Cricetulus griseus: one gene and its partner. The protein of the gene in region 2 interacts with the protein of the main gene of each other region in a pairwise test. Links are inferred from orthologs where the notes say so. Each region holds a gene or a part of one and is shown on either strand. Other genes may lie near its edges.

Region 1 (4,381 bases), on a different chromosome or scaffold from region 2:
GCGCCGCGCTCGCACAACTCGCACAAGGGCTACGCGCTGGCTACCCCACCACGTCACAGGCTGAGCTCAGCACGAGGTGACTTAGTTTCAGAACCTAAACAAGTCTTCTGTCGGGGATTTGAATTGCACCCCTGCTCTCTACGCCGGGCGCAGGGTCCCCCTAAGACCGGCTTCGGGGTGACCCCCTGCCCCTGGCCGCCCCGGCTCGCGTTCCGGCACATTCCGTCCTCCCCGCCCCGCCCCTCCCCTCCCTCCACCCTTGGCCTCATGGGGACGGAAACATCCCGTCCCTGCCCGAGCTGGGTCAAGAGCCGGAGGGACAGGCCTGGAGCGCCCCCAACGCCAGAACTAGCTCTCCTGGTTTCTGCTGGGTGACCTCACCTCACCACGCCCCCTCAGGTGAACCAACCGGAGGGGAGCGTCACTTCCTGCCAGGTAAGCGCCCAGAGGCTGCCCGGCGAGGCTGGAGGTCAGTTTGCCCACCATCCCACAGCTGTGGCCCGTGAAAATAAAGCAATTCCATCTCAGTTCGCACTTGGGATTTTATTTAAAAATTCCATAAAACCACAAAAATAGACCTGTAAGGTAGCAATATATTACTTAATATATTATAGTATACTTAATACAGTATCCATTTTAATATTACAAAAAGAAAACACGAAGTAGACGACCCAATATATATAAATACTATAAAATCTTATTACAATAAATAAAAGTCGTCATAAATAAAGGGCCCACTGGTTGGAGAAGGGATTTGGCAATGGCTTTGGCTATTTGCTTTCGGAGGGAAATTTGAGCACCAGGATTCTCCGTCAGGGGAGGCTTCAACCACCAGACACTGAAACTCCGGGTCTAGTAAAAACTGGGATGGGGTTGTGGGAGCCAGCTCTTCACAGCACTTAAGATTCCAGGAGACCAGAGTTGGGGAGGGGGCTGGTGCATGCCTATATAACACCAAAACTTAGGAATCTAAGGAAGGATTATCTCAAGTTCAAAGACAGCCTGGGCTCTATACTAAGCCCTATCTCAGAAGCAACCCAAAAGAGTTGGGCCTGGAAGACCAACTGTCAACTGTCCCCCACAAAAATGCTACATTTTAGGTACCTCATGAACCAATACACCCAAACACTGAATTTGCAAACTAGGGACCTGCCCCAGCACAGCACCAGGGGAGTGGGTTAATGCATTTTGGAATGTCAGGGAGGCACTTAGGGATTTAGGAGTCCCCCCCTAGGTCCCCACAACAATAAGCAACCCTCTTGAGATCTAGCTGACCCACACTAGTTAGGCATTTGTCACTCAGAAACAGAGATGCGATTGAAGATGGGGAGACGCCTTGGGGGTGCAGTGGGTGGGGGAGGCCCAAACACCCCAGCTTCAAAGACGGGTGAGTCTGACCCACCCAGGCTGCTGCCGCTGCTGGCATAGTCATCTGGATCGGATCCCAGGGAGTGTGCAGATGGGCTCCGAGCCAGGCCACCCAAGGGCCCCCAGATGGTGTTAGGGGTTGACCTTCGGCAGGAGGGGCAGCAGGCTGGAACGGGGTCTCTTCGAGTCACAGGGGTCCCAGGGGCAGCAGAGAAGGCAGAAGGGGAAAGTGGAAGGTCCCCGGGTGGTGGTGGGGAGCTAGAGGGTGAAAAGGAACATGAGGACAGGGAAGGGCCAGGAAAGCCTGGTGGCGGCGGCGAGGTTCTGCGGCCAGAGGGCAAGCCCGAGAAGCTGATGCTTTGTCGAAGCACATGGGGCTGGCCCGGGGCAGCCAGGTCTTCGTTGGGGTTGTGGATGAAGTGGCATCGAGAGCCATAGGGACAGCGGCCCTGGAGGTAGAACTTGTGGCAGAGTTCCGTTTTGTACTTGGGGTGTCGATTGGCCTGGCGCAATTCACCCAGGCCGTGGGCAAACTGGCACTTGGCCCCGTATCGACAACGCCCGCTCTCCGAGTAGGTCCGACAGAGCTCGGTCTTGTACCGGGAGGCGGTGGTGGTGGTGGTGGTGGGAGTCGCAGTAGGCGAAGTCGGTGAGGGTGACAGTTCAGGGCCCGGGCGGGGAGCCAAGGGTGCAAAACCCGGGGGTGGGGGCACCCAACCGCAGCTTCGGCCCTCCACCAGGCTGGTGGAGCGGCCGGTCAGGCGGGAAGTGACCCCGGCTGGGATGGAGTCAGACGAGTTTATGCTCCAAAAGACCGAGGGGTCGGTCCCTCCGTGGTCGGATGACAGGTCTGGGCCCAACGACAGGAGGCTCTGAGAGGAACAGGGTTCGGTTAGGCCACCAGAAAAGGTGAGGTGACGACGCCCCGCCCGCCCCGGTTTGTAAATAACTTCACAAGCTTGCCATTCCGGTTTGTGGGTTCTGGGTGCTGAGCCCCACCCGGATCACACCAAGTCCGGGGGAGAACCTGATGGTGGGGGATCTGAGGGTTTCCACGCCTCCGAAGCTGAGCCAGGAGGACCCAGGAAGCCCGGTGTCCCCGACTGAGCCAGACACGGCACCCCCAAATCAGAGGACACAACTGCGCCCCAACTTCGGGCCTCTAGACCTCCCCGGATATGACCGCCCATGGGCGCTCCAGTTTCACAAACTTGGAGGAGGGACCGGTCAAAGCCGACCCAGACCAGATCTCTCTCTCTCTCTCTCTCTCTCTCTCCAACTCCCCCCAGCCCTACCCTACACTAGCTGGGGCGACAAACGGCGCGCGAGGCGGGCGAGGGGACCGGGCAGGTGCGGGGCCACTTCCGCCCCGCGCCAGTGACACCAGCGCGCCAGCTCTCGGTCCCCGGGGCCGGCAGGCGCCGGGCTCCGGGCTCGTGGGCGCCCCTGGCTCACCACCCGGAGCCGAGCCGGGCAGGTCAGGGTAGGGCAGGGCAGGGCAGGGCTGGGGCTCCGGAGGACTCGGGAGTGCCGTGCGGGCAGCACTCACCTCGTAGATGGCAGAGAGGTCCATGGTGGCGCGAACGGCCGTGGAGAGGAGGAGACCGTGGCTCGGGCCGCACAAGTCTGGCTGTGGCCGGCGGCGCGAGCTTTCCTTCTTTATAAGAGCTTGCGGCCTGGGGGGCGTGGCGGGGGCGTGGCCAAGGGCGCTTCCCGGACGCGCCCCCGCGGGGTCAGCCCAGCCCACCGGGGGACTCGGCCCCTTCCGCCCCTCGGCTGGCTCGTTACTTTGCTTGAATGTGCCCCAACTCGGCTCGCGGGCAGCCCCGGCCCGTCTCGGGGCGGTGTAGCCGGGGCTTTGTCACCCTGATGGTTAGCGGGGCGTCGGAGTAGTTTTGGAAGGTTGGCGACGATCGGGAAGGGAGCTGGGGTAGGAGGAGTGGGGGCAGGGCCCCGGGGACAATTGACAAGGGCAGGGACCCGGGAGGGCGTGGGCGTGTGAGACACACCGGGGCGGGGCGGGGAGAGACATCTGCAAGAGACGGAGATGGCCAGAGGCCGGGAGGAAAACAGAGACAGACGTACGCAAGTTAGGACAGCCACTCGGGGAGGCTGAGGCAGGAGGCTGCAAAAATTACTATAGAGGGAGTTCTAGGGCCCCCTGGGTAACATGGTGGGACCTTTGTCTTAAGAAGTAAAACGGGGGCCCCCGGCGTTGGTGGCGCACGCCTTTAGTCCCAGCACTCGGGAGGCAGAGGCAGGTGGATCTCTGTAAGTTCGAGGCCAGCCTGGTCTGCAGAGCGAGTGCCAGGATAGGCTCCAAAGCTACAGAGAAACCCTGTCTCGAAAAACTTAAAAAAAAAGGGGGTTAGCCAGAGGATAGTGTGGCTCGCCTTTAATCCCAGCACTTAGGTGGCAGGGGCAGGCGCATCTCTGAGTTCCAGGCCAGCCTGGTCTACAAAGCGAGTTCCAGTTCATCCAAGACTACGCAGAGGAACCCTGCCTCGAAAAAACAAACTAAAAATAAAAAAGGGCCAGGCGGTGGTTGGCACAGTGGCCATTAAAACCAGTTTGATCCCAGCACTCTGAGACAGAGGCAGGCGGATCTGTTGAGTTCGAGGCCAGCCTGGTCTCCAGAGTGAATTCCAGAACAGCCATGGCTACACAGAAAACCAAGTTTAAAAACAACGCCTGCGCTGCCGGGGGTGTTAGCGCACGCCTTTAATCGCAGCACTTGGGAGGCAGAGGCAGGCGGATCTCTGAGTTCAAGGCCAGCCTGGTCTACAAGAGCAAGTTCCAGGACAGGCTCCAAAGCTACACAGAGAAAACTCTGTCTCAAAAAACAAACAACCTAAAGTCCCACAAACCAGCCAGTAGCATATGGCTGTCATCACGGCATTTCAGAGGTGGGGGGAGATGAAATCAGGCGTTCAGTGCCAGTCTCAGTATTGATCGAGTTCCAGGTCCGATTTCTAAAAAGAGAAACCACTAAGGTGGGGGAGGGGGGGATAAA
Region 2 (4,291 bases):
GTGTTAGAGGCAGGTGGATCTCTGTGAGTTTGAACTAATCTGGTCTACACAGTGAGGACTGCCAGGACTACATAGGCTCAACAAAAGAATAAAACAGTTTTGTTGTGGTAGTTTGTAGACATAAAGAAGAGAAAGTGCCTGAGAATGAATCTATTCTATACAGTCCTTGCATGGAGACCGAAGTCACATAAATGGAAAGTTCTTGACTAAAGATGGATACTGTCCAAATCCTAATCATGGAAGATAGGTAGTACCAAAGGAAAGAATCAGTAACTTCACAAGTACTTGCTGTAATGAAAGTCACATAATGATAGAGACCTGTACAGAGATGTTCATGGTGGCTTTTGTCCTGTTTGGTTGATTCAAATTCTCATGTAGTACAGACTAGTCTGGAACTTGTCATGTAGATGAAGATGACCTTGAACTCCTGAGCCTCCTGCCTGCACCCTTCAAGTGCTGAGATTAAGACTTGCATACCACACTAGGCTTTTTGAGTTTTTGGTTTGAGAAAGGCTTTCATATTGCCCAGGATCTCCCTGAACTTGCTATTTGCCTGAGAATGGCCTTAACTGATCCTCCTATGCCTCCTAAATTTATAGGTGTGCAAGGCCACGCCAGGTTTTTGGGGTTTTATTGGTTTTTTGGTTTTGAAACAGGGCAGCAAAAATTGGAAGGGAGGGGAGTAACCCCCAATCTTGAAACGTACATTACTCAGAAAATAACTCCCCTCACAAACGAACCAGATCTCTTCCAGTCCGTGTTGAAAAATAGTTTAGCGATCCCAGGAGGAGATGCCGGCAGTACAAAATCCACTGTCCAATACCATCTCTTACTTAGGGCTTCTATTGCTGTGATAAACATCATGGCCAAAAGCAACTTGGGAAGGAAAGGGTTTATGTGGCTTACACTTCCGCATCACATCATCACAGTAACTTGTGGCAGGAATCAAGCCACGAAGGAACGCTGCTTTCTGACTTGTTCGCTCAGTCGGCTTTCTCATACACCCCAGGACCACCTGCCCAGGGTGGCACCAGCCCACAGTGACCTGGGCCCTCCACATCGATCATTAATCAAAATATTCCCAAAGGCCAATCTGGAGGCAGCATTTCTCTCAGAGGTTCCTCTTCCCAATGACTCCACCATGTGTCAAGTTGCCATAAAACTAACCAATCCATTCTCCCTACTGCCCTTTAACTTTTTTCATACCGTCTGCAAGTCCACACCTCTACTAATTGGCACTTTCAAAACTGAGCTTCCCACAACAATCACGCCTCTTGCGCCTCCCACCAACGAGTACGGAAAAGCAGCGAGGTAGACAGGACGCCCCGCCCACTGGCACCGTCCTGCCCCTCTAGGCCCGCAGCTTGCTCTATGGTCTGGCGGACCTTGTGTTGTCATCCTCCGAGCGACGGCCGGAGGTGGTGGCGTAGGCCCGGGCGGGGCGTTTGGTTTCGTTTCTGCACCGACTGGAATTAGTGTCGACGGTCAAAATGGGAGTCCCCAAGTTTTACCGATGGATCTCGGAGCGGTATCCCTGCCTCAGCGAAGTGGTGAAGGAGCATCAGGTGGGTGAGCACAGGCCGCGGCCCGCTCGGCGCTGTGGGACCAGGGCCTGCCTTACAGCTGCCAGCGGTGCTGTAAGCAGCCGGACAGGAGAAGGATGGGGAGGACAGAGGCTTGGCGGCCTCCCGGTGAGCACACCGGGTAGAGGCAGGCAAGATCAGTGCGGCCGCGCCAGGTGCTTGCGGCAGGTCTGAGCTCCCCCTGGGAGAGCTTTCCGCGACTTCCAAAGGAGCCCTTAGTGAGGAGGCTTTTAGTGAGCCCTGTGCCCTCCTGGGAGCTGCCCTGGCTTCGCCTTTGGCTGCAAGGCTGAGAGGGATGCCTTCCCGGGTGTCTCGTCCCACGCAAAGCAATAGACCTGTGTACAAGCACTAGCAAACGTTCCTGCGGTGGAATCGCCTAGTATTCCAGCTGTAAAGAGCTGCATCTAACCCCGACCCCTGAACCCATTGATGTAGCCAGTGATTCGTATTTGTGATACCTTTTGATACTCTTTTTAGCTCCCAAACAGTACCCATCCCCCCATTGTCTAAACGAACAAAACGTTTAGATTGGTCGCAGGGATGGGGAGGGGGGTTGATGGTGCTTAGTGCCTTTGATATGGAGAAAAAGCTCGAAACATTATCACTAATAGTTGTTGTATAATGACCCCACAGCAGCGATGATGTGAGTTCTAAAAGTGTGTATTTGTATATCTATGTATTGTAATATATTTGCATGTTTAAATAGCAGAAAGAGAGAAACCAAATGTTCTGATAGGTAAGCTAGGCTTAGAATGATAATTTAGTATGTCACATTGAATGACTTAGATAACGACTTTGGTTTACAGAAAAAAAAGAACTCGTTTTTGAAACTTGTATAGTTAATTGAATTATTTGTGATACGTAGCACTGTGTTAATAATGGGAGCTGTCAATTGTGTGGGGTTTTGTTTTGTTTGTTAAGGTACTTGGAAGTATAATTATGAAGTCTAGTCTCTGGAAAGGATTTTCTTGATATTAAGTTCTAATGAAACAGCATATATAGTGTTATATATATTATGATTTCTATTAAAGCTTGATTGAGGATTCAGAAAAGCAAAGTCAGCCTCAAGCTATAGAGATTAGCCAGAAGCTAGGAGGTGGTGGTACATACCTTTAATTCTAGGACCCAGGATTAAGAGGTAGACAGATCTCTGTGAGTCCAAAGCAACCCAGATCTACACAAGATTCACTCTACTCAAGATACACAATCTTGTGTATAGTTCTCTTTTAGCCTGCTAAAAGAGAATTATAACTCACACCTTTAATTCCAACACTAGAGGGGTATAAAAGACAGGATCAAGGATTCAATGTGAGTCTTAGTGAGAACTCATGGAGACAGGATCATCGCATTCAGTCTGAGGTAGAATTAAGAAGCTAGTGGCTTGCTGCTTTGGTTTTTTTTTTTGTTTTGTTTTGATATTCAACTTGAAGGTTGAACCCTAATACCAGTCTCTGGGTCATTTATTTTTCATGTTGCAGGCATATGAAAAAAAAAAAAAGCTCATAAAAAGTTCCAAAGTGCTAAATTGTCATTCATTTATTTTAAATATAGGTTGAGTTAGATTTAGAGGGCATTTATATCCAGGGACAAGAGTGAAAATGGAGACAATTAAGTTGTATTTCTATTGCTGGACCTTTGATCAATAAATATTTGATAGCATCTAATGTGTTCAGTAACATTTATATTCTGTGCTCTTCAGCCACAATAGTTTATTTGGTTAAAATATCTTGGATTCTCTATCCTGAGGAATTTTGTTGCAAAAACAAAACTGTCATTAAAAGGAACATTATGACATGGACAGCAAGATAGATTTTGTGAAAGTTTCTTAGTAGATTGAAATTGAAAGTAAGGACTGCTTTAATTTTACACTGTAAGTGAACTGTAAGACCTGGTGCATCAGCACAGCACGGCATGGTGTCCTACTTCTTTAATCCTAGCACTCTGGAGGCAGGAGCTTGCAGATCTCTGAGTTTGAGGCCAGCCAGAGTTACATAGTGAGACCCTAACTCAAAATAAATAAATAGGGGACTGAGAGGTGGTGTGGTAATTAAGAGCTTTGATTACGAGGACCTCAGTTTGATTCTGGCACCCACAACTGTTTGTAACTCCAGTTGCAGAGCATGATACACACACATATATGCAGGCAAAACACACACACATGAATAAATAAATGCTTGGTGTATCAAGGTAATGCCTTCCACAAATATTTTATTAAAAAGAGATCAAAAAAGGGTGACTAAGAAAGAAGGATCGAAGTTGGGATTCCCAACATCCACTAAAAGCTGGGGGGGGGCATGGGCATTGCCCAATTAGATAGCAGTCTTTAACCTGTAACACTAGCACCGGAGAACAGGGACAGGTGGATACTGAGGGCTCGTTGGCCAGCCAATCCAACTGAATTAGTGAGCTTCAGGTTCACTGAGAGATCCTGTCTCAAAAAATAAAGAAGCGATTAAGGAAAACCCCAGAGTTGACCTCTGGCCTGCTGTGTGGGTGGCAAGGTGAGCAGGAGAGTACATGGAGGGGCGGGATGGAGAGGAATAGGTTTGGGGACCAGAGAGAGGCTTAGTATCAGCACAGTCTTTGAATCCTCACATGAAAATAAAAAGGGAAACTAGATAGCAAAGTTTAAAGTCCATAAAACAATTATAACAAGCCATGTGATACAGTATCCCCATGTTACTTGTTCAAAATACTACTAGATGGTG

The links.
Region 1: the proteins of Xrn1 (region 2) and Zfp36 interact in a two-hybrid assay, tested with the Homo sapiens proteins (2 studies listed by BioGRID). The link is inferred for Cricetulus griseus from reciprocal best matches to the Homo sapiens genes XRN1 and ZFP36.

What each region holds. Positions count from the first base shown.
Region 1 is NC_048602.1:7,508,810-7,513,190, reverse strand, and holds Zfp36 (mRNA decay activator protein ZFP36), read right to left. Parts: upstream 3,028-4,381; 5' UTR 2,942-3,027; coding exon 2,918-2,941; intron 2,241-2,917; coding exon 1,296-2,240; 3' UTR 525-1,295; downstream 1-524. Other genes in the region: putative uncharacterized protein FLJ46214, read right to left, coding at 3,028-3,400. UniProt on the Homo sapiens protein: Zinc-finger RNA-binding protein that destabilizes several cytoplasmic AU-rich element (ARE)-containing mRNA transcripts by promoting their poly(A) tail removal or deadenylation, and hence provide a mechanism for attenuating protein synthesis.
Region 2 is NC_048597.1:204,593,419-204,597,709, forward strand, and holds the start of Xrn1 (5'-3' exoribonuclease 1), read left to right. Parts: upstream 1-1,381; 5' UTR 1,382-1,490; coding exon 1,491-1,565; intron 1,566-4,291. UniProt on the Homo sapiens protein: Major 5'-3' exoribonuclease involved in mRNA decay. Required for the 5'-3'-processing of the G4 tetraplex-containing DNA and RNA substrates. The kinetic of hydrolysis is faster for G4 RNA tetraplex than for G4 DNA tetraplex and monomeric RNA tetraplex.